Macaca mulatta: one gene and its partners. The protein of the gene in region 1 interacts with the protein of each later gene in a pairwise test. Links are inferred from orthologs where the notes say so. Each region holds a gene or a part of one and is shown on either strand. Other genes may lie near its edges.

Region 1 (3,500 bases):
CAATTCTGTGCTTTTTTTTTTTGAGACAGAGTCTTGCTCTGTTGCCCAGGCTGGAGTGCAGTGGCGCAATCTTGGCTCATTGCAAGCTCCGCCTCCCAGGTTCACGCCATTCTCCTGCCTCAGCCTCCCGAGCAGCTGGGACTACAAACACCCGCCACCACGGCCGGCTAATGTTTTGTATTTTTAGTAGAGACGGGGTTTCACCGTGTTAGCCAGGATGGTCTCGATCTCCTGACCTAGTGATCCGTCCACCTCAGCCTCCCAAAGTGCTGGAATTATAGGCGTGAGCCACTGCGCCCTACCAATTCCGTGCTTTCTTGTAATGAAATTGCAGTGATCTAGTACACAGCAGCTTTTAGGTTAGCCTGTGAAAATTCATGCTATTGGTTCCAGACTAAAAACATATCTATTAAGCAAATACTACTGCCATACAGTTGGCACATCTCATGCTGTGTCAGAGCAGGCTCCATGTCCTGTTGACTCCCCAAGTCCCTGAACGAAAATTCTTAACGGGCTATTAAAAAAAATGTGCACCACCTGTGGGTGTCACCTCAACTGAGGCTTTTCACTATTCTGATGAGTCTTCAACTAAAGGATTTTCAGATCTGCATAATTCTAATCAGTAATATAAAACTAAAACTGTTAGTCCTCAGATGTAATTGGGAAATCTTCGAATACACAAGTGGCTAGTCTGAAAAACTGACCATGAGGGCTCCTGGTGACTGCTAATAATCTACTGCCTGCCCTTTGTCCTCAGCAGTAAACCTGGCACATACTGGTGCAATCAGTAACACCTTATGACCATATAGCACCTGCACATACTTTATCTGATATCATCTCGTAACAAGGCAAAGACAAGTTGAATTATCTACTCAAGGGCTACTGAGCACATGAAATGTGGTTAATGTGACCAAGAAACTTAATTTTATATTTTATTTCATTTTAATATACATTTAAATAGCCACATGGGCTGGTGATAATATACTGAGTAGCACAGACATACAGAGCTCACTGTACTAGTTGCCCACACAGCATTCTGAAAGATAAAATCCCATATTTTAAAAAGGGTGGGATGACAGCTTCAATATAGGGTGGAAAAAAAAAAAGCATGGGGGGATGAGAGTAGCCGAAATATGAACTGCGAGCTGCAAAATCTAAACAAATCTCAATTGAGAGCTTTAGGATTCTATTGTAAGGTTCTATCTAGTGGCTACTAGATGGTTTTTCTGCTTATCTGAATTTAAAAAAACGCACTGGCGATGGCAATGTGAGTATTCTGTATGTGCAAATCATCAATTACTCCGAATGATGCTTTTGAAAATGGCAGCTCCTGAAGCATGTAACAGAATGGGCATGTCTACCCAAGCTGGTCTTACATGAGTCTGAAAGGCAACTTAATGATTCTCTGTACATTCTATGTAGAAAGGCCTCAGGTCTCTCAGGACATGGAAAGTGGCAAAAGGAAGAAATAAAACTGTATTTAAATATGATCCCCAAATCTGTATGTGACAAAGAGATGTGCACAAACACACACAAGCACACAATAGGAAAAAAAACTCAAAATGTTAATGGTGGATGCCTGTAAGTGGTAAGATAACATGATTTTTATTTTTTTTTTCTGTGTTTTTAAAATTTTCTACCTAAACGTACTGCTATAATCACAAAATCTATTGCTATCATCAAAAAATAAATTTTCCCTAAAAACCTTTAACTTTTAAAAATCTCATCTTAAATGTAGCCATCATTTCACTGTTTCCTATGTATGAGTGGCCTAGGAAAACAATTCCTTCTTCTGTTTCACATAGCACTAGACTTCACCAACTTTTAAACTAAAATTACTCTTTAAACCTTAGCAACCGCCTTCAGCAACAAACCCCCTTAAGCTGATCATCTAACACATGGCCTCAAAAAGAAAAGACATTACAAACCTTTCGGTGATGGAAAAGTGTTCTCCGTTCCTTTGCCAACGGGGGTAGCTGGCAAAGAGAGTGATGCTTGGACGGCGGAGTCCATCTTTTCACAGTCCAGAGTTGGAGAGCTAGGAGCCGACTTTCTAGTTACTTCCTGTTGTCTTTCCCGAACTGCTAGTTCTTGCCTTAAATCTGTAAAATATTCCAAACAAGGGCAGGAATATTCACTAGAGGGAGCAAATATATCAAGAAAAGTGACATCTAAAATGTCATAAAGATCTTCTTCCTAAATTACTATTTCTCAAAAACGAATTTCCTATTTAATTATTAACAACTTTATTTCTAGGGGGAATAAAAATGGCAAAACTACTGTCTAAATGATCTTTTAGAATTTAAAAATGTTACAATCTGAGAGAAATTACTTATGCTCGTATGCAAAAAGTAACAGTGCAGAGTCCACAGTACAATTCACACAAAAGTAAATATTCTTCCCAACTCATTTGCTTTTATTTTCAAATGCTGTAGTTTTGGGGTTATTGCAAAATCAACTAAGTGCATTTTTGTAATTTTAAATGAGTTGGCATTAACTATTATTACTATGAAATATTTAGTTTTAGAAAAGTATTCGGAGTGGTTTAAATATTTGTCATTCTTCTTGCTCTGTCGCCCAGGCTACAGTGCAGTGACACAATCTCGGCTCACTGCAACCTCCACCTCCTGGGTTGAAGAGATTCTCTTGCCTCAGCCTCCCAAGTAACTGGGATTACAGGGGCACACCACCACACCTGGCTAATTTTTTTTCTATTTTTAGTAGAGACAGGGTTTCACTATGTTGGTCAGGCTGGTCTCGAACTCCTAACCTCAAATGATCTGCCAGCCTCAGTCTCCCAAAGTTCTGGGATTACAGGCGTGAGCCATCACACCCAGCCAATATCAAGTTTTTAACCCAAAATTAATGTTATCTTTTCCGATTATGCAATTTAACCTACAGAATATTTGCTTATGTTAAAAAAGGAACAAAGTCATCCCCCTTTTGGGCATGTATCCAAAAGAATTCAAAACAGGATCTCAAAGAGGTATTTGCACACCCATGTTCACAGCAGCATCATTTGCAATAGCAAGAGATGGGAGCAACTCGATGTCCACCCACAGATGAACAGATAAAGAAAATGAATACATACAATGGAATATTATTCAGCCTTAAAGAAGGAAATTTTGTCACATACTACACATGGATTAACCTTGAGGACATTATGCTAAGTAAAATAAACCAGTCACAAATACAGTATAATTTCCCTTACATGAGGTATCATAGAAAGTAGAACTGTGGTTGCCAGGGGCTGAAGGGAAGGGAAAATGGGTAGTCGCTATTCAAAAGGTATAGTTTCAGTTTTGCAAGATGAAAAACTTCTAAAAATTTGTTTACACAACAATTTGACTATACTTAACACTACTGGAGTGTACACTTTAAAATGGTTAAGAAGCCAGGCACAGTGGCTCACACCTATAATCCCAACATTTTGGGAGACAGAACCAGAAGGATCACTTAAGGCCAAGGATTCAAGACCAGCCTGACCAACATACTGAGAC
Region 2 (3,500 bases), about 63 Mb from region 1:
GGCTAGTTTTGTTTTGTTTTGTTTTTTTGTATTTTTAGAGATGGGGTTTCACCATGTTGCCCAGGCTGATTTCGAACTCCTGTCTTCAAGTGATTCACCCGCCTCGGCCTCCCAAAGTGCTGGGATTACAGGCGTGAGCCAGGGCTCCGGCCTGATTCAGGACTGTTGACCACTGCTTTATCTCTCATTCCCTAAGGGGCCAGGAGCAGAAGCTTGCAACGTCAGCAGCCCGATCTAAGGCACCCTCATCTCTAGCTGGAGGGAGCCTTGGGCCCTAGCCCAGTCCTCCCAGAAGCAGCTTTCTGAAGGAAGGGACCCGCTGGGAGGCCCGGGTGTGGGCATGCCTAGCCTATCTGTGGCCCCCACCAAGTCCTCTGTCCTCTGGGTCTTCCCGGAACTGCAGACAGATCTAAGACCTCGGATTTCCGCCCCTCTCCCCAGCCCATATCTCTCTGCACGAGGCATATTCTAGGCAGGTTCTGCTTTCCCGGTATCATCACTTAAAGTCCTGTCATTTCGAAGGCAGGCGCCGTCGTGTCCCCAAAGCATCCACATTTCCCAAGCTCCCTTCCGGGTCCTGAGGCCCCTGGGGTCTCAGCAGCCACTAAAATCCGCTTGTCTGGGGCGCCAGCCTCAGGTCTTAGCTCATTGGCTAACAAGAGATGATTGACAGGTCCTGAGCCAGAGAGCGAGCCCGGTCGGGCTCTCCGCCCGCCCAGCTTTGCCGGGTCTCCAGGAGCAGGTGTGGCTGGACTACTGGAATCCCAGTCTGAGGCCGTGTTCTAGTGGGCGCGCGCTTTCCTGCCCGGCTAGGCAGAATCCTGCCCGAGCCTGACACTGTGGGTGGTTTGGTGAAGTCCTGTTTTCTCTTGCCAAGACCAAGTAAGAGCTCGTTTGCCTCAGCTGCCCTCGGACCCCAACCCCTAGAAGGTGAACCTGAAAGGCACGGAAGTTGGGGCAAGGGAGGGCCTGGGACGGGTGGATTTCTCAGCCCTGGGGTTCAGGGTTAGGAGTTTGGAGGGGGAAAGGAGCAAGAGAAGGAGCCCCAGCTGGGGGATGGGGCCGATCTGCAGTGACTTTGAGCACCTTCTAATGTTCTCGGCCGCCCACCCACCAAGACCTCAGATTCCTGCTGGGCCTGCCTGGGCCCCATTAGTGGCTCAAGGCCCCGTTTCCCAATTTTCTCCCTCCTGGGCTGCCCAGACCTGCACAGAGTGGGTGCTCAATAAATGTTATTTGAGAGAATAACAGTGGTTCCATTTACTAGGCAGGGTGGCCGCAAGCCAAGCTTGAATCTCATAGCTGGAAACCCCATTTACAGAGGAAGAAACTGAGGCTCATGGGGCTGGTTTGTCCTGACTTTCTACCCATTGTTTATTGACTGATTGATGCATTGATTGCGATAAGGTCTTGCTGTGTCGCCAAGGCTGGGGTGCAGTGGTGCAATCATGGCTAACTGCAGCCTTGACCTCCCCGGTCAAGTGATCCTCCCACCTCAGCCTCCTGAGTAGTGGGATCACAGGCACACATCACCATGCCTGGCTAATTTTTTATTTTTTATAGAGATAGGGTCTCCCCTTTGTTGCCCAGTCTGTTCCTGAACTCCTGGCCTCAAGCAATCCTCCAGCCTCAGCCTTCCAAAGTGCTGAGATTACAGGCCTGAGCCACCATGCCTGGCCCACCCATTGTATTCTGAGAGCCACAGCCAGAGGAACTGTTCTGTCCTGGGTGGAATCTGCCACCACTACTTGGGTCTCTGCCCCTGGGGCTCCAGCAGCCCTGTAAGATTTTATTCTTTTAGCATTTCCAAGACCTGTGGTTGGGACCGGGATTGACCTGGGAGAGTTTGGAGAGGAGGTGACTTGGAGGCCTCGCCTGTGTTGACATCAACCCAGTGGGTTGGTGCCCAGACTGGGTGGCTCGGTCTCTGAGCAGCGGCCTCATGGGTCTCTGCAGACAGGTGGGCCAATGTGAAGGTGGAGTGTGAGCCAAGCTGGCAGCCCTTCCAGGGCCACTGCTACCGCCTGCAGGCCGAGAAGCGCAGCTGGCAGGAGTCCAAGAAGGCGTGTCTACGGGGCGGTGGTGACCTGGTCAGCATCCACAGCATGGCAGAGCTGGAATTCATCACCAAGCAGATCAAGCAAGGTGAGGAGCTGCCCGCCCATGTGTCTGGGTGGAGGGCAGGGCCTCCCACTGCCCCACCCATCCTGCCCAGGAGCCTCAGAAAATGTTCCTTCCTCCCTACTGGTGGCTGAGGCTGACCTCTCAATGTCTTCTCTCCCCTCCTCTCCTGCTGCACCCCCAGAGGTGGAGGAGCTGTGGATCGGCCTCAACGATTTGAAACTGCAGATGAATTTTGAGTGGTCTGACGGGAGCCTTGTGAGCTTCACCCACTGGCACCCCTTTGAGCCCAACAACTTCCGGGACAGTCTGGAGGACTGTGTCACCATCTGGGGCCCGGTGAGACCTCCCTCTCCCTATCACAGGGCCACAAAATACACCCCCAACCTCCAGGTGCTACCCCAGCTGAAGGATATCCTAGTTATTATCAGTACCTGCCTGGAACCTCTTGCCTCTCAGCAGTCCCCCTCCTCCCCACCAATGCCTTCCCTTCCACGTGAGAGACTGCTGGGACTTGAATCCACCTCCAGCTAGCCAAGTCACCCTGAGCAAGTTACTAGAGGGTCATTGGTGAGATTGGAGGAATTAATTCTCGGGAAACCTTAGGCGCAGTGCCTGGTGCATTCTTGGTCTCCTCCCAGCTGCCCTTCCCTGCCAGAAGGTGGCATCAGAACCCACATTATGTGCAGATACTTTGCAAGCAGGGCTGCTCTCTGCCAGCCCTCACCCCCAGTGCTCTACCCAGCCCAGGGTCCTGTCATCTCAAGAAATTGTTGGGTTATGACAATTTGCCATGGTTTGGGCTTAGATGTGGTGGAAGTGAAGGAATTGATGAAGGGCTTCAAGCAGAGAAGAAAGACCCTTTAAAAAGGGACAAAGCCAGTTGAGTGCGGTGGCTCACGCCTATAATCCCAGCACTTTGGGAGGCTGAGGCGGGTGGATCACTTGAGGTCAGGAGTTCAAGACCAGCCTGGCCAACATGGTGAAACCCCGTCTCTACTAAAAATACAAAAATTAGCCAGGCGTGGTGGCAGATGCCTGTAATCCCAGCTACTCGAGAGGCTGAGGCAAGAGAAGCGCTTGAACCTGGGAGGCAGACGCTGCAGTGAGCTGATATTACATGACTGCACTCTAGCCTGGGTGACAGAGCAAGACCCTGTCTCAAAAAAAAAAAAAGGAGAAAGCCGTAGTGACACAGACCACCCTTCCTAGGGACAGAGAGGATGTTCTGCTGTCACATACTGCAAACAATGCTGGGGACTATAGTGGCAGTCATTTGCCTTAGGGGATGCTATTTAAGAATTTTAAAACAATTACGTATTGAGTATCTACTATGTGCCAGGCATTTTTCTGGGTGCTGGGATACACAAACACGCCTG
Region 3 (3,500 bases), on another chromosome or scaffold:
GGTATAAGCATACCACTCCAGCACAACACATTATAGGATCCAGAAAATGCAGAAACAAAGGTTGCCCTAGTGATACAACCTGTATGGGACACAGAGAAGATATCTTCCAGTTTTTGTTTACGATATGGTTTGACTGTGTCCCCACCCAAGTCTCAGCTTTAATCATAATAATCCTCATGTGTCAAGGTGGGGGGCCATGTGGAGCTAATTGAATCGTGGGGGTGGTTCCCCAAATACAGTTCTCATGGTAGTGAATAAGTCTCATGAGATCTGATGGTTTTATAAATAAGAGTTTCCGGGCACAAGCTCTGTTGCCTGCCGCCATGTAAAATGTGACTTTGTTCCTTCATCGCCTTCCACTGTGATTGTGAGGCCTCCCCAGCCATGTGGAACTGTAAGTCAACTAAATGTCTTTCCTTTATAAACTACATAGCCTCAGGTATGTCTTTATTAGCAGTGTAAGAACAGACTAATACAGTTTATAACAGCTGATGAGAGCACACTGGAAGCCCCAATAGTCTATGGCATTCATTTATCTTATAAGGCCTTCTTTCTTCCTGATTCAATTCTAGCCTCCAGTGGTAACTGCTAGCATTATTATGAAAGTGTTCAAAAAGCAAATGGTAGCAATCATTATAACATAGAGACTATCAATTCTAAATAATAATATTTTTCTCAATTCTTTATTAATATCTCCAATCAATAAAGGTAAATCTACTTAAAGATAATGGGATGTAATACAAAGACACAAATTTCAGGCTGTTGCCCTGAAATTACACTTACTTGAGGAAAATAATTTAAAATTATTAACTCTCACTTCACATGTCACGATTCAATAATAATCGTGTGTATACGTTTTATAGAAATCCTTCAAATAAAACAAATGTTGTAATTATAACAATTAAACCAAAGCAAACTTGAATCCTAAAGAATGGCTGATTTCTGGGCACAAGTGTAAAAGAATCCCATGATGCATTTTCCTGACTAGCTCACTCTTTCACTAACTAGGCCCAGATTGTGTGGAGGGTAGCTGCATTCCTTAGGCAAAATCATTCCAACCTTCAGATTGAATTTTACTGTAATTCAACTTTACTGAATTCTGATTATTATTGGAACAAAAACGACTAAGTAAACTACTTTTATGGTATCATAAAAACAAAGCCCAGTATCATTGATGTGAAATACATTTAATAGATCTCTCAATAGCTTTATAATAGCATGTAACCATAACTTTATAGCTGACATCAATTTCTCCTTAACTGACAAATTGGAGGATGTTTGGGATTAGTTTATTATTTTTTAAGTATTTCGTAAGCTCTTAAAATTTTAAGGCTAAAGAGTACCTTATAAACCAGAACTTCAAAACATTCATTTGACATATGAGACTAGCTAAGGTCCAAGAGGAAACCCCACCCCTGCACAATGCCATGCAGTTAATCACTGACAGAGCAGGGTCTCACCACGTCTTCTGACTTCATTGTCTACCAGCACTGAAGGACATTAATCTTAGAGCAAACCATTACCTCTTGAAGAACTCTCTTCATCTTTAATAATAACGTCTTGACTGCTGTGCAGTCCTGTAACATCAGTCTGAATGGCAAAGAATCTATGCCTCCGTTTTCTTCCACACCTTGTAGGGGCCAATCCGCAGATGGACTGTTGGGCATTCGGCTGATGTGGGAACACCTGGCTTCTTGATCAACGTCCTTTGTTAATTTCAGGGAAAGATTCCTAATAAGAAAAAAAAAAAAAGAACAAAAATTACAGTGCAGCATGCTTACAGCAGTATTTCCCAAGTTGTTGATCAGTGGTTCTAGTATCCTAGAAAGTGTTTCTTGTGTCCTCATTTCATGATATTATTATTATCATTATTTTGAGACGGAGTCTCGCTCTGTCGCCCAGTCTGGAGTGCAGTGATGCAATCTCGGCTCACTACAAGCTCCGCCTCCCGTGTTCACGCCATTCTCCTGCCTCAGCCTCCCGAGTAGTTGGGACTACATGCGCCCGCCACCATGCCTGGCTAATTTTTTGTATTTTTAGTAGAGACGGGGTTTCACCGTGTTAGCCAGGATGGCCTTGATCTCCTCATCTCATGATCCGCCTGCCTTGGCCTCTCAAAGTGCTGGGATTACAGACATGAACCACTGCTCCCAGCCTCACGACATTAGTTTTTAAAAATTTTCAGACATTACAGTAGAAATTATGGAATGGGTCAAATACATATTTAGTGTTAAGATTCAATGAAAATTGCAGTTTTAGGATATAATCATTCCATTAAAAAATTCTTTCCATTTTTAAAACCAAGAGACCTATCCAATAATGATAATTAATATTGTAACATACTTTTTAGGGCTTGTGTTTAATTTCAATTATATATATATATATATATATATGTATACATACACATTTCTGAATTATGTTATTTTCTTATATATTTTATATCATATAATTTTCTAAATTATATGACAAGATACCTTAGCAACTTAAATAGAGAAAAAAACAAACAGATGCTCTGGCACTTGCCACCAAGGTCAGGCAATAATACAGATAAGAAAATATATTTTTAATTAATTTTATTCATGTGTGATTATTCACAAACAGAATAACTGAATTTGTAAATTACCAGATAATTAGTAAACACATTTTTGAATAATATTCAATTGTTTACTTATCTTCACAGGTATGTTCAGTGGTTCAATTGTCCTTTGAAGGGATAAGATAATAATTATTACCTCCATTTTATATTTATAATGAAATAATGAATAAAAAATTATGGCTAACATTTTTTGAGGGTTGACTACTGTCCAAGTACTGTGCTAACCACTCCATGTGTGTTAATTCATTCAAACCTTGAATAACTTCAAGAGGTAAATATAAAGCACAGATAAGTAACTTTTCTTGTTGTTAAAGAGTTAGTAAGAAGTGGATGTAAAATGAACTAACCTAGGATTTTTCCCCCTACTAACTACATAATGTGCATACATATAATAATAGCTAATATTTATATAGTTCTTATTGAACCTCAGGCAGTCACGTAACTAATAGGTTTTAAATCATGTAATTGTCACAACAATTCTTTTAGGTACTATTATAATCTCCATTTCCCAATGGGGTGATTCCAGTCAAGAGAGGTTAAGTAACTTGCTGATAGTTACACAGCTAACAAGGGATATTGCTGAGGTTTGAATGCTGGTAATGCACACTTAGCTCTAAACCACTACAGTGTTGCATTTTGTGTGGAAAACAAGCATGCAATTGAACAAAATAGTATACTTACAGTTATACTAAGAAACATTAACATTTTCACTTTAAAGTGTATACTTAATCTGATACAATTGATCCAATTTAATTATATTATGTCCAACTTGCAATGAACTATACAGTCATTCTTATAGGCTTCTATTTAGTGTTAATGCTTTCTAGGGCTATTTTCTCTAAGACCAATAAGAATAAAATCAAATATAAACATTAGAAGTCACAGTAGGTATATATTAAATTAG
Region 4 (3,500 bases), on another chromosome or scaffold:
CATTTGACTTACTCAAATTTTATTATTAGCATATGGCAGATCAGCCACTGGCTGGATTTTATTTATTTATTTATTTTTGAGACGGAGTCTCGCTCTGTTGCCCAGGCTGGAGTGCAGTGGCATGATCATGGCTCACTGCAGCCTTGGTCTCCTGGGCTCAAGTGATTCTCCCACCTCAGCCTCTTGAGTAGTTGGGACCACATGCATGCGCCATCATGCTCAACTAATTTTTTAATTTTTTGTAGAGACGGTCCCACTATGTTGCCCAGGCTGATCTCAAACTCCTACCGTCAAGGGATCCTTCCGCCTCGGCCTCCCAAAGTTCTAGGATTACAGGTGTGAGCCACCTCGCCCACCTGAATTTGTGTTGTTTATTGAAATAGGAAACAGCTTCTGTAACTCATCTCTTTTGAATCAAGACAGAATTGTTTCAGATATAAAATGGGGTCACATTTTTCAGTCTTTCACTGATCTGATAGATACTCACCTGCAGGGACAGATCCAAGTTTTGCAAGTCCTAAAATATATAATTTGTGTGTGTGCAGGGGGGCTTCTTGAAGAATAAGATTACAAAATTTTGAATATAATAATTAGGAATAGGCCAGGCATGGTGGGTCACGCCTGTAATCCCAGCACTTTGGGAGGCCAAGGCGGGTGGATTGCTTGAGCTCACGGGTTTGAGACCAGCCTGGGCAATATGGCGAAACCTTTGTCTTTACCAAAAATACAAAAATTAGCCGGGTGTGGTGGCGCATGCCTCTAATCCCAGCTACTTGGGAGGCTAAGACATGAGAATAGCTTGAACCCTGGATTCAGTGAGCCAAAATTGGGCCACTGCACTCCAGCCTGGGTGACAAAGTGAGACTCTGTCTCCAAATATAATAATAATAATAATTGTAATAATAATTATATTATTATTTGGTATAGGACCTTGGGAGAGGCAATGTATGCGGGGTCCTACAGCTGGAGCTTTCTTAGCTTCATGGTAAATCTGCCTCCCCATTCCACCTACTTATATTCTAATGAAAACCGCCTGGGTCAGGAGCTGAAATGAATGAGGACATCTCTCTGCAAATGTGTTTTCCTTCTTGTTCTATACAGGTTGCTTTAGGGAGTAAAAATGCAGAATCAGTAAAACAAACAAAAATCAAACAAACTCAAGTGAGTGCTCCAAATGGATTCCAAATAATTCATTATAATACTCATTTCTAAGCCGCGATGATTCTACACTGCTTTTAGATCATTTTCTCCCTGGTAAAATTGAGTTTGAGCAGCTCCAGTTTGAAATGTGTTGTGTCTCTTTTGAAAGAAAGGTTTTTAGATTTTCTTCTGGGGCCAAGGCACCTTGAAGCAGAGCAGTCAGGTGTCCAGAGAGCTGAAAGAGCCAGAGCATGGACCTGATGAAAGGAACTAGTCCCAGGGTGAGCAATGGGAAGTATCTAAGGAGCAAAAATTACCGATGAAATTTCTTGAGGAAGCTGAGTTGTGATTTTAACTAGGGGTGAGCTTAACTCTGCACTAAGTCATCTGAAGGAGAGTTAAGTTTCGTTCTGCCTTTGCGGTTATTTAGGCCTTATTGCTCAACGGATCCTTACCTGAAGATGAACAGGAGAGGCCCTTGGCCTTCTGTGAACCAGGTGTCAATCCCGAGGAACAACTGGTGAGCTCCATCTTTTGTGACTGGACGCTAAATTTGTATGTATTTGACTTGTGTTTAGCATTTGACACTGCTGTTCGTGTCTTCTTGAAATGCTGTCTTCCTTGACCAGTTCTGGTTTTCCTCCTACATTTTTGAACATTGTTTCCTTCTTCATTCATTTAATAAAAAAAATATTTATTGAGTGCTGACTATATGCCAGACCCTATTTCAACATGCTGGAGATATGGTAGCAACAAAACAGACCTAAGACCCGACTCTTACGGAGTTTACATTCAAGTTCTCTTTGAAGCTTCTCTTTTTCTGCTTGTGCCTTTAATGTTAGTGTTCCTCAGCATTCCAGTCTAGGCCCTCATGTGTCTTAAACATTCACCTGGGCAGTAGTATCTGCCTCCAGTTCTTCACTCACTTCCGTCTTGCTTCTCATGTATTTATTTCCAGCTCGGCCCTCACTATGGAGTTCTAGATGTGTGTATGCAATATGCAACTGCCTACTTATTATCTCCACTTGTAAGTCCCATAAGCATCTCAATTTCAGTGAGTCCTAAATTAAAGTTTTTCTGTCCTCTGCCCAACCACCAAAGCTACTTGTCCTTTTGGATATCTGTTTTGGATACCTAAATGCACCAAATAGAAATCTGGATATTATCGTTTAATCCTTTTCCTCTACATCAGTCAGTCACCAGGTTTTACCAGTTTACATTTCTAATTTCTTTATCCAGTTTTCTCCATTCTCACAGCCACTTAAAAATCAAGCCTCCATCCAGTATTCTAGCAACCTTCTAACTGGTTTACCTGATTCCTCTCCTGTCTTCCTCTAATTCATTTTTTGTAAAACAGCAAGAATAATTTGCTTTAAAGACAGACTTCATTTTGTCACCCTTCTGCATAAAACTTTTCATTGATTCCCCATTGCCCTCACTGGCCTTTCATGATCTGGCCCTGATATTTCTCTCCAACTTCATCTCTTGCCATTTCTTCTTCCTTTTACCCCACCCCCTCCCCTGCATCCAACCCCCACCCCATACTTCCTCTTTTTTTTTTTTTTTTTTTTTGAGACAGTCTTGCTCTGTTGCCCAGGCTGGAGTGCAGTGGCACGATCTTGGCTCACTGCAACCTCTACCTCCTGGGTTCAAGTGATTCTCCTGCCTCGGCCTCCCGAGTAGCTGGGATTACAGGTGTATACCACCACACCTGGCTAATTTTTGTATTTCTAGTAGAGGTGGGGTTTCACCATGTTGGCCAGGCTGGTCTTGAACACCTAACCTCAAGTGATCTGCCTGCCTCGGCCTCCCAAAGTGCTGGGATTACAGATGTGAGCCACCACACCTGGCCCACCCATACTTATTTTAAGCTTTATCCACATAGATCTACCTGCTACTTGATGCATATGCTTCCATCAGAGAACAGGAACTGTTTCCGGTTCTTCTTTGTATCCACAGTACAGAGCTGGCATCTAGTAGTGCTCAATAAATATTTGTTGAATGAGTGGCCTCTGAACTTCACGGCATAGGTGTTTAGCTATCTCTTTTTGTCTTATATTCAGATTATAATCCAAAGTCGTCTGGATCAGAGTATGGAGGAGAATCAGGACTTAAAGGTATGTCAAGACATATATATTTTACCCCTTAAAAACATTATGGGGGCCGGGCACGGTGGCTCACGCCTGTAATCCCAGCACTTCAGGAGGCTGCGGTGGGCAGATCACAAGGTCGGGAGATCAAGACCATCTTGGCTAACATGGCAAAACCCTGTCTCTACTAAAAATACAAAAAATCAGCCGGGCGTGCTGGCACACATCTGTAGTCCCAGCTACTCGGGAGGCTGAGGCAGGAGAATTGCT
Region 5 (3,500 bases), on another chromosome or scaffold:
TCAGTATATTAAATATATATTCTCCAGTATATACTTCAGTATTTTGTTGTTGGCAGCATGCAAAAGTTAAATCCAAATGTGAGTGAGAGAGAGAATTTGGTAGGGGAGGGGAGAAAAAATTGCACAAAATGGTAGAATATTTCTAATAAGAGTAACAAATGGGTCCACTTCAGTGAAAGAAAATCTCAGATCATTCTTCTTCATACTTGAATAAAAATTTTATTATAATGTATTTATTATAATCATAATGTATATTATTCATTACTAAGTATAACTCCTTAATGCTTATAGCTCTTATACATCAACAAAAACAAATTTGCAAACCTGTTGTTGTGATGTTCAGATTAAGAAATCTAAATATATTGTACTCTTTAGATCGCCCACATGTAACCACCAATGTGTTCACATTTGGTATCCCAAATCCTAAGAACGTGTTTGCTCACTTATGAATTATCACATTACACAAATAGGGGTTATTACACTTTCAAAGCTTTGTTTTCTGGTTCAAGGTTATCAGATCGCATACTTGATCAAACTCTGACAAGTGAGCAATCAAGGTAAAATCACAGACTGTTCAAACTCTTTGAAGTTATTCCAGCAACTTCCAAAAATATTCCCCTAGTCCCCAGTCTGACAAACACTGGTATCGTAGAAAGATCAAGACTGTGGAGGTGAGAGGAAGAGGAAGCAGGGGTTCACACTGGGAGGTTAAATCTTTATGAGTCTCACGATTTTCACTCTTTTATAATACCACTTACTGTGAGACTTCAATAAAATGAGAAAGATAAATAAAATGCATATACTATGCATACTTAAATGGTAGCTGCTGGTATGGATCACAGTAACAGGAATAAAGATCTGTTAAGCAAATATTCTCTATGCTCTACATAACATCTTCTGGGACGTTGTAGGGTGCACAGAGGTCACTAAGATCCTTTTGATCCTCAACAATCAAAATAGAGAAAGAAATCCATAAACAGAGTTCCTTTCGTTAGATATCTATTGAAATATGTGCTTCCTTTTTTAAAAGAAAGTAAAGGATTAATAAAAACAATAAAAAATTCGCAGCTGGAGGCAGGTAAGTGAGAGTAAAGTTTGAAACTAATACCAGTGGCAAAAAGGAAAATTACCTCTTCAAATCCTTCATCAGTAACACCTGAAACTTTCTTAGAAATCCACCGAGTTTTTAATGTAACAATGCCATTTTCCGTCAAACTACGTATAAATGGCCTGTTGACTCAAGCATGAGATCATGTACCCTGATACTGTAATGCTCACCCGGTCACTTGCTCACTACTGACTGACTGACACCACACCAAGAAGGTCAGACTTTTTGAAAGGGCTCCTGAATCAGGGGGTGCAGTGTCCAATCCTCACCCAGGTAATACTGCAATTTTCTGGATCTCAAACAGTAGATGGATGTTGACGGTAGTTTACCTTTTGTGATCTGCTGCCACCAGCTGTTGGTTTGGAGGACTCTGCAAGATTTTCTTTGCCGAGACTCAGTGGGGATAGCGCTAACTTCTGTGCAGCCAGGCGGGGGCTGGTCCGGGTTGCCATGGTTGTTCTCCGCAGGATATATGGGCTAGTCTTTCCTGTCGGGATGTCAGCAAACCCTAAGGGCAAAAAAGCTAACTGTCAGCACTGCTAGGTCCAATTCTATCTACAATGGAAAAGATATTCATTAGGTGGTTTTAACAAGGATAATGTAAACTCCAAAAAATACTTTGTCCTAGCCACTTTGGTCAATGGATTACACTTCACAGTTGCTCTGGGAGTCACCAAATTGAATCAAGTAACAAACAGGTTTTTTCTTATTAGAAACATAGAAAATAACAATGGGAAAAGAAGGGGAAAATAATACTACACAGAAAAAGTTTTTTCTGCTTCTATCTTCTACATGGATGTTTTCCTTTGCATTTTTCTAAGATCTAAAGAATGCCAGCAGGCCTTATCGTAAAATTGGGTTGGGGGAAAAAGGAGAGTACAATGCAAAAATAAAATATATATATAAAAGAAAGGCAAGTGCTTGTTTAAAGGGGGAAAATGTAAAATGGTAACAGCTACTTCAGGCGAGCACTCTAATGTAGGTGGGAGGAGAGAAACTGACCTTCCTAAAGGTGACTTCACCCTCACTCGGGTTGTCTCTTTCCACAAAAGAAAGTGACATGACTTTTGATGACCCAGGAAAGAAAGTCAATCCCAGGGATACTAAGAGTTAATGTATCAACACACACTCCAGAACTGCATTCAGGGCTAACTAAAGCAGCATTTGTTTTTGTTTTTCACACACTACATATAAAAATTACCAGTGAAAGATAGATAACTATTTTGGGGCTAGAGTTACTCAGAACAATGCTTTTCAAACCATCTATGGCACAGAATCAGTTTAGATATTTGGGGGCGGAAGGGGGTCAAAGAATTTCCAATCTGCTGTGGAATAATATTTTTGTATAATATAATGAGAACAAATCAATAGAAAAAATGATATGTGCTTGGATGTTACAAAAATATCAAGTTGCTATGAAAATTTCTAAAGTCCTACTTAATTACAATACATTGTTTCAATCAGGAACCAATAACAAACAGTTCCTAGACTGGCACCAGTCCTTGGGCCAGACTTGGGAGAAAACCAAGTTTAAAAAAACAAAACAACGTGTAGTCAGTGGCTCCAGCCAGGAGGCCAGCACCACAGGGTGGACCCTCCAGCTCACCTGCTAGCTAGGTCAGACATGACCAAAGGGTAGGAAACCCTGAAGGGCGTCCTTGATTTAACCATTTTTTTCAGCATTCAAATAACAAATTCTAAAGAGATTTTAGACAGTCATTTTACCAATCTACCAGCTCTTTTGTTAATATGACACAAATAATGAGATCCCCGAGGAAAATATATGCCTCATCCATTTAAAAGCAGACTATTGTTTATGAACATCAATGAGATTATTGCACAATAATGTAAAAAAGCAAATACTTTTGTCTTTTTATATGTGAACCATTACATGGAATTTCAAAAGAACACAAATAATTTTGTTTTAAAATTAGGCATACCTTTCTTTACAACTTCGGGAAGTCCCTCTGGCTCAAACTGAGTACCTTCTGTGTCTTCTGCAGGGTGAATACCACTCATGACTGCTTTCTTGCTTTTTTTAGAAAAGGTCTCTGGAGTAGAAGGTGTTGGTCCTCTACCATTCTCCCATATCCCACTGGACCTTTGCCTCTTGCCTGAAGCTTTTTTCTGGCCAGATGATAACCTCTTTTCAGCAGCAGAAAGGATTGGAGATGGTCCTGGAACAACTGGATCTAGCAAAGGAGACCCTCGGGAATCTGGTTTAGATTGCTGTGAACAGAGATGGGCCACTTGTGTCTCTAACATCTCTTTAGCTTTCTCTAACTTTTCGTGGCTTATAAGCAAGGAACAGTACTTATCCAAGTATTCGTCTGCCTCCTTGGTTTTTTCTTCAAGAGCCTCTTTTAGTTCTTTGATCTCAGTAGTTAATTCA
Region 6 (2,272 bases), on another chromosome or scaffold:
ACTCAGGGTTCCCCAGCAGGTGGTGAATGTGGAAGTGACCCGAAATCTGGACAGCATCCTCCAAGTCGATGAGCTTCACTCGAGGCACTGGAATCCGTAGGTCAATGAGCAGGTTTTCAGGCTGCGGAGATCCAAGGAGGAAGGGAGAAAAGAAGGGAAGTTCAGGCCTCTATTTTGACTACTCAAAAGACCTCATTAATTCAAACACAATTATGCTATTCTTTGATAAAGCCTATGGTGTATGGAAAATTCCCTATGCACTATGGAAACTGCATAGGAGACTTCAAAGTATCATTCTGAGCTTACTACACTTTGAGTTTGGGTTGTAATTCAGAGAAGTAGTTTGACATTGAAAATCATGTCTTCTTAACTACATTGCTTCTGCATTGAGTCAAGGAAATAATAAATTACTCATTTTGGTGAACAGGGGCTTCTTTTTGAGCAGCATGGAAGAAAACGTGACATTTGTTGGCTTACTTCTATGAAGTTAGATTAGGTAGGTAGAACTTCCCTACTTTCTCTCACACCAGATGTCATTGTGGCTCTGGTATATTCTCATTAATTCATGGATGATATACTTAAATTGTATGACAACCCAGATTCTCTTTAATAGTCATAATGGGATGGGCGTGGTGGCTCACATCTGTAATCCCAGCACTTTGGGAGGCCAAGGCGGGCGGATCACTTGAGGTCAGGAGATCAAGACCAGCCTGGCCAACATGATGAAACCCCATCTCTACTAAAAATACAAAAATTAGCCGGGTGTGGTGGCAGGCACCTGTAATCCCAGCTACTCGGGAGGCTAAGGCAGAAGAATTGCTTGTACCCAGGAGGCAGAGGTTGCAGTGAGCCGAGATTGCACCACTGCACTCCAGCCTCGGCAACAGAGTTGTCTCAAAAAAAAAAAAAAAAAAGTCATAATATTCTACTCTAAGTAAATAAAATGAATTTGAATTTATATTCCTTATGAGTAATGACTGTAAGTTGGACTTGGCCATTTAAGGTATTCCCTGCAAAGTTGACACTTCTTATTACCTTTATGTCCAAATGTGCAACCCTGCAGTTGTGAAGGTACTGCAGAGCCTCCATGATGTCTCGAATATAGAAAGCTACTTTTTCCTCCATCAGTTCATCATGATTCATAAGGTAGTCTAAGAGGCGGCCATCATCCATCCTGAAAGTAGGCAGGGAAAGGCAAAGGAAATATGTTTGATATGAAGAAATAGAAAAATAACACATATACAAATCAGTAAGAGCTCTAAGCTCTCTCATACTTCTTGTTATACATGAAGACTAAATGTGCAACACATGCATATTTAGTTAGAGCCTAAAGTTATTGTAATATTCAGAACTAAAATAAATATATTTACAAATATGGTGTACTGCAGGGAAGAAATATGAATGACCTTGTTTAGGAAACATTCTCCTTCATTAACTCTAAAAATTGCTCACAACAAAATGTTGTGACGACCATTTAAGAGGTTCGATTGCTAAGTAAAGAAAGCCTTCACCAAGAGGGACTTCAGCAATATTCTGATTAACCGTAGCCTAGGGGCTGCAAGCAACCCCACGTGTGTTTTGCAAAGTACTTCTTAATTTTATTTTATATTGATTTTAGAAATGAAGTCTCACTGTGTCACCCAGGCTGGAATGCTGTGGCACAATCATAGCTCACTGCAGCCTCGAACTCCTGGGCTCAAGTGATCCTCTTGCTTCAGCCTCTCACATAGCTGGGATTTCTGGAGGACGCCACTGCGTCTAGCCAAACTACTTTCATTTGTCAGTTTTTAGTTGGGGAAAACAGAAAGTAGGCAAAGTTTGTTCTTTGCATTATTGATTCTTTGCCCCACTCCCACCCTGCCACCTTTTTTTTGTTGTTGTTATTTGTTTGTTTTGTTTTTGAGACAGTCTTTCGCCCAGGCTGGAGTGTAGTGGCATGATCGCGGCTCACTGCAACCTCCGCCTCCCAGGTTCAAGCGATTCTGGTGTCTCAGCTCCCCAAGTAGCTGGGATTACAGGTGTGTGCCATCTCACCCAGCTAATTTTTGTATTTTTAGTAGAGACAGAGTTTTGCCATGTTGGCCAGGCTGGTCAGTAACTTCTGGTCTCAAGTGATCCACCCGCCTGGGCCTCCCAAAGTGCTGGGATTACCGGCATGAGCCACCGTGCCCGGCTCTTGATCCCTTTTTGAATCCTTTGCCTTCTGGGCAACTTTTCCAACCTTGAGAACTGTGATTGAGAACATGGTATATGGAGCCATCCAGACCCAGAT
Region 7 (4,156 bases), on another chromosome or scaffold:
GTGCAATGGCGCGATCTCCACTCACTGCAACCTCTACCTCTCCGGTTCAAGCGATTCTCCTGACTCAGCCTTCCGAGTAGCTGGGATTACAGGCATCCCCCACCAAGCCCGGCTAATTTTTTGTATTTTTGGTGGAGATGGGGTTTTACCATGTTGGTCAGGCTGGTCTCAAACTCCCGACCTCAGGTGATCCTCCCGCCTCGGCTTCCCAAAGTGCTGGGATTACAGGCATGAGCCACCATGCTCGGCCAATTTACACTTCTAAACTCCATTAATATATTAGCCATTCTTTTAGGTCACTTACTACTTTTTATTTGGTAATGTATTTTTCTAGCAGTTGACTTCCTTCTTTAAACTTTTTGCTTTAAAGCAAGCAGAGTCTTTGTGTTTAATTCAGCACCTGCACAGTGCCCAGCATGAATAACATACTCATTTGATGCTTGCTGAATTCACCACACAGGTGATGCATTACATTGTAGAGAGAACAGATTGTGTGTGGAGTTGGGATTAAATTTCCAACCAATGCTGACAGACACATAGTTCATATGTGAGATGGATTCTCGTATCTGTCTCACACAATTGTTTCAAGAATACGGTGAAGATTCTGGAATAGGCACATAGTAGATGCTCAGCAACATTCCCTTTTCTTCTGTTCATGGCTCCATTTATGGAAGAGTTGTATCTGCTTGTTCTCTTCCTGGCTGGCCATTCTCATGGATAAGAAAGAACATCTAATATGCCTCCTGTGTCCCCCACGCAGAGGAAGCTGATTTGATTTCAGTTTAGCACTGGACCTATGGGCACAGAGAATGAATGGGTGTGATGGCTCCACTCATCAAAGACTGGCCTCACTCATCCTGGAATCTTTAGTCAGACTCCTAAGTCTAAATATAAGGTCTTTCCCTCCATGTATTGCAGCAGTTCTGTGTTTTCTAGACCTCCCCAGCCTTTCAGAAATTCCTCAATTTTATTTAAAGAAAATGAGAGGGGGCCATGGAGAGGCTTAGCATCTAACAAATCCCACTTTGTATTAATCATTTTAAAACTTAATGATAAAACTGATAAGTTTAAAAATCAGGTTTGGGAGTTTAAATACCAGCTCTGCCACTTACCATCTATGAAAGCCTCAGTGTTACTTAACTGCTTAGTTTCCTCATCTGTAAAATGAGGATTCAAATACTAGCTCACAAGTTTTTAAATATATATATATCTCAAATGAATGCAAACCACATTGCCCAATTCTTGGCACATACTAGGCCCTCAGTTATATTAACTATGATCATTGAACATCTTCTCTTTACCTTTCAAGTATGTTAACATTGACTACCTGATCCTTTCGGATTCTTTTACACGAACAGTACAGCCTCCCAGACTCTGCTGTTTGAAACCTGTGGTCTGGCCTGTTAGAATTTTTCTATTTTCCTAGCAGAAATTAGAATGGGTTAGCCTACATTCGCCAATGCCCAAGTTTACTTCATACAGAAACAATTGCACGTTGCAGGAAACAGATATTCCAACTTAATTGCTCAATTTCTTTCCTCTCCTTTTTGCTATAATAAGCCAACATAGTGCTTTTATAATGCAAACTCACACACACAACAAGTAAAACAAGGGTTACTGAGTTGATCCGATCACCTGACTTCAGCAGGGGAGAAAAGGATACATCATGATCTCTAATTTTTACAAGTGGCTTGCCATCTTCTTTCCCTTCACCTCCCCCGTCTATCAATCACGAACATAGTGTGCGTGTGTGTGCTTACACCCTTTTCACCTCCGGGTTTAATTTTTTGGAGGGATCAGCCTTGCACCACACCCGCATTGGTGGGGGTGGGAAGCGCAGCTAGGCGGGCAGGGCTGTTGCCGGCAGGGCCAAAGTCCCCTACCTCCCCCTCGGCGTGTTTGTTCCCTGGACCAAAGCCTCCTAGCCACTTTCTTCACTCCCTAGATCTACAACTCGCCTCCTAAGAGGGTGGAGCGTCCCGAAGTACTAGCACAAGACAACACAATCCCAATTTATAGGTTGTAGGAGCGCCAGTGCTGTCGGGTTTTTTTTTTTTTTCCAAGATATTTATGGAGGTCATGAACTATTTAACAAATCTAATAAAAGTGAAGGGCTCCTTCTCCCAGAAAAAGATCGTACACACCAAAATTCTGCATAGCATCTCAAGGTGTTTATAGACTCCCTGAACCTCCAAATTAAGTCCGCACCACCGAGGGGTGCGGACGGGCGGAGTAGAAAAAGAAAGGGGTGATATCTTGAAGTGAGGTCTTTAACACTGATAGATATGTGCAATATTTAATATACATAGGTATCTATATGACGAAGCTGAGTAATAGGTTATGGAAAAGAGTGCTTTCCACAAGCAAGTCGGTCACACCGAGGACGGCGAGCAACAGGTGGGCACAACATGGGGTCCCGCACTCCCAGCACGCGGGGTGAGGGCGGGATAGGAAGAGGCGACGGGGTGCGGGGCAGGGGGCGGCGCCGGGGAGCGGCGGGCTCCACTCACCGTTGCCCACGGAGCTGCGGCCCTTCCGGGCGAGGGTCTGCTGCACCTGCTCCTGGATCCGCAGGCTCTTGACTGTCTGGCCGCCGCGGCCGCTGCTCCCCGCCAGCTTCAGCTTGGCCTCGGAAGGCAGCGCCAGGCTGGAGCTGTCCAGTTGTCCCAGGATCTGCTGGCCCAGGACGGTCCGGATGTAGCCGTACTCAGCTGGGGCGCCGGGGGCTGCCATGGGGCCGGTGGGGGCGACCGAGCCGCTCGCCTGCCTTGGGACTCGCGGGCGAAGCAGCCACGGAGCTGGGGGCGCTGGCGCGAGCCCCGCCCCGCTCGGGTCCGGCCCCGCCCCTGGCCCGCCCCCAGCGCCGGTGAGAGGCCCGGGCCGGGGGGAGCTCGGCCTCGTGGGCTGGACGCCCGGCCTTCCCTGGGGAGGGGGCGCGGCTCCGGCCGGGCACGCGCAGTCGGGCCCGGGGAGCGGGGGCGGGCCCTGCCGCGCGCGCGGACACCTGGTGACTTGTACCCGCCCGCGGGGAGGTGGGGAGAGAGGTGCGGTTCGCCCGGGGTCGCGCACGTTGTCGGAGTTCCAGCGGATATCGCCTGCCCTGCCGGGGCCGCGCCCCGCTCTGCCCACGCCCCGCGCTGGACAGGATGGATTTCCGCTTGATGCAGGGAGGGGCTGCCCTGCAGGCAGGTGCGCCCTGGAGAGTCACTCCTGTTCTTAGACTGAGGCTTGCCTGCGGGATCCCCGAGCGAGTAGTATGTTTGGTTAGTCAGGCTTTGTCGGACTGTTGGAAACGTTTCCTGGTTTTCCTGGACCCAAGGGTGAGAAAGGGCTATTTGGTCAGGCGGAAAGGGCAATATGAGGGAAATGTGCCAAGAAGATGACATGTGTGAAATAAAAGACTTTCTAAAGAGTGTTTTTTTCTTAGTACAACTTCAGGACTATGTACTTTTTGCACAGATGCAGTCCCAGAAACATATGTTCTTCCTCATTGAGAGCTTCTGTTTTCTCTTGAAGATACACGAATTGTACCCTGTACTCTTGCTCACCCATTCCTCTCTTACGAACACACCCACACAGAGAAACTCCAGCAAGAGGCTCTAGAGAAGAAATGAATTTTAATAGACGATGCTTTTTTAATAGCCCTTTTAACGTTGATTAAGTTCTCTTTATTGCAGGTTCTTTATAGAGAGATCCACAGAGAAGGCCTCCAATTTCAATCGAATCTTCCACAACTTGTATTTATCGTGCTATTAATTATGTTTCACCGCAGTTGACTACTGAGAACTTGAGAGCTAAGCTCAACAGAAAGGATCCTCGACCTTAAAGTTTACAACCAAAGCCACTTGTCCTGATTTTCCTCTTTGGACTTAAGAGGCAGAAAGAAAAACATGTATCCCTGGTATTAAGTAAGATAATCTTCCCTTTGATTGCTTGGGTTTGTATGTTCACTTTCTCTCAAATCACTCAATTGCTGCAAAACCCCACTTACTCAAATCTGGAGTGTTTGGCGAACGCAGCTTCCCTCCTCTCCATTTTCCTACCCACACCCTTCTGCCTTTAGACACACACCGAATGCTTAGACACACAAGGCACAGGTGTATGGCCTCCGTTTTTACATGAGCGTCCAGGGAGTGAAGAGGAAACCAAAGGACTG

Evidence for each region.
Region 2: the proteins of NDEL1 (region 1) and MRC2 interact in a two-hybrid assay, tested with the Homo sapiens proteins (2 studies listed by BioGRID and IntAct). The link is inferred for Macaca mulatta from reciprocal best matches to the Homo sapiens genes NDEL1 and MRC2.
Region 3: the proteins of NDEL1 (region 1) and CCSER1 interact in binary tests that used the Homo sapiens proteins (3 or more experiments, as listed by UniProt). The link is inferred for Macaca mulatta from reciprocal best matches to the Homo sapiens genes NDEL1 and CCSER1.
Region 4: the proteins of NDEL1 (region 1) and DIXDC1 interact in binary tests that used the Homo sapiens proteins (3 or more experiments, as listed by UniProt). The link is inferred for Macaca mulatta from reciprocal best matches to the Homo sapiens genes NDEL1 and DIXDC1.
Region 5: the proteins of NDEL1 (region 1) and CENPF interact in binary tests that used the Homo sapiens proteins (3 or more experiments, as listed by UniProt). The link is inferred for Macaca mulatta from reciprocal best matches to the Homo sapiens genes NDEL1 and CENPF.
Region 6: the proteins of NDEL1 (region 1) and KALRN interact in a two-hybrid assay, tested with the Homo sapiens proteins (2 studies listed by BioGRID and IntAct). The link is inferred for Macaca mulatta from reciprocal best matches to the Homo sapiens genes NDEL1 and KALRN.
Region 7: the proteins of NDEL1 (region 1) and PKP2 interact in binary tests that used the Homo sapiens proteins (3 or more experiments, as listed by UniProt). The link is inferred for Macaca mulatta from reciprocal best matches to the Homo sapiens genes NDEL1 and PKP2.

The regions. Positions count from the first base shown.
Region 1 is NC_133421.1:9,952,856-9,956,355, reverse strand, and holds part of NDEL1 (nuclear distribution protein nudE-like 1), read right to left. Parts: intron 2,103-3,500; coding exon 1,929-2,102; intron 1-1,928. UniProt on the Homo sapiens protein: Required for organization of the cellular microtubule array and microtubule anchoring at the centrosome. May regulate microtubule organization at least in part by targeting the microtubule severing protein KATNA1 to the centrosome.
Region 2 is NC_133421.1:72,455,024-72,458,523, forward strand, and holds part of MRC2 (C-type mannose receptor 2), read left to right. Parts: intron 1-1,956; coding exon 1,957-2,145; intron 2,146-2,305; coding exon 2,306-2,460; intron 2,461-3,500. UniProt on the Homo sapiens protein: May play a role as endocytotic lectin receptor displaying calcium-dependent lectin activity. Internalizes glycosylated ligands from the extracellular space for release in an endosomal compartment via clathrin-mediated endocytosis.
Region 3 is NC_133410.1:99,938,835-99,942,334, reverse strand, and holds part of CCSER1 (serine-rich coiled-coil domain-containing protein 1), read right to left. Parts: intron 1,732-3,500; coding exon 1,524-1,731; intron 1-1,523.
Region 4 is NC_133419.1:112,733,754-112,737,253, forward strand, and holds part of DIXDC1 (dixin), read left to right. Parts: intron 1-1,570; coding exon 1,571-1,660; intron 1,661-3,203; coding exon 3,204-3,257; intron 3,258-3,500. UniProt on the Homo sapiens protein: Positive effector of the Wnt signaling pathway; activates WNT3A signaling via DVL2. Regulates JNK activation by AXIN1 and DVL2.
Region 5 is NC_133406.1:72,355,181-72,358,680, reverse strand, and holds part of CENPF (centromere protein F), read right to left. Parts: coding exon 3,049-3,500; intron 1,617-3,048; coding exon 1,438-1,616; intron 1-1,437. UniProt on the Homo sapiens protein: Required for kinetochore function and chromosome segregation in mitosis. Required for kinetochore localization of dynein, LIS1, NDE1 and NDEL1.
Region 6 is NC_133407.1:159,033,730-159,036,001, forward strand, and holds part of KALRN (kalirin), read right to left. Parts: intron 1,175-2,272; coding exon 1,036-1,174; intron 122-1,035; coding exon 1-121. UniProt on the Homo sapiens protein: Promotes the exchange of GDP by GTP. Activates specific Rho GTPase family members, thereby inducing various signaling mechanisms that regulate neuronal shape, growth, and plasticity, through their effects on the actin cytoskeleton.
Region 7 is NC_133416.1:35,099,682-35,103,837, forward strand, and holds the start of PKP2 (plakophilin-2), read right to left. Parts: upstream 2,801-4,156; 5' UTR 2,734-2,800; coding exon 2,511-2,733; intron 1-2,510. UniProt on the Homo sapiens protein: A component of desmosome cell-cell junctions which are required for positive regulation of cellular adhesion.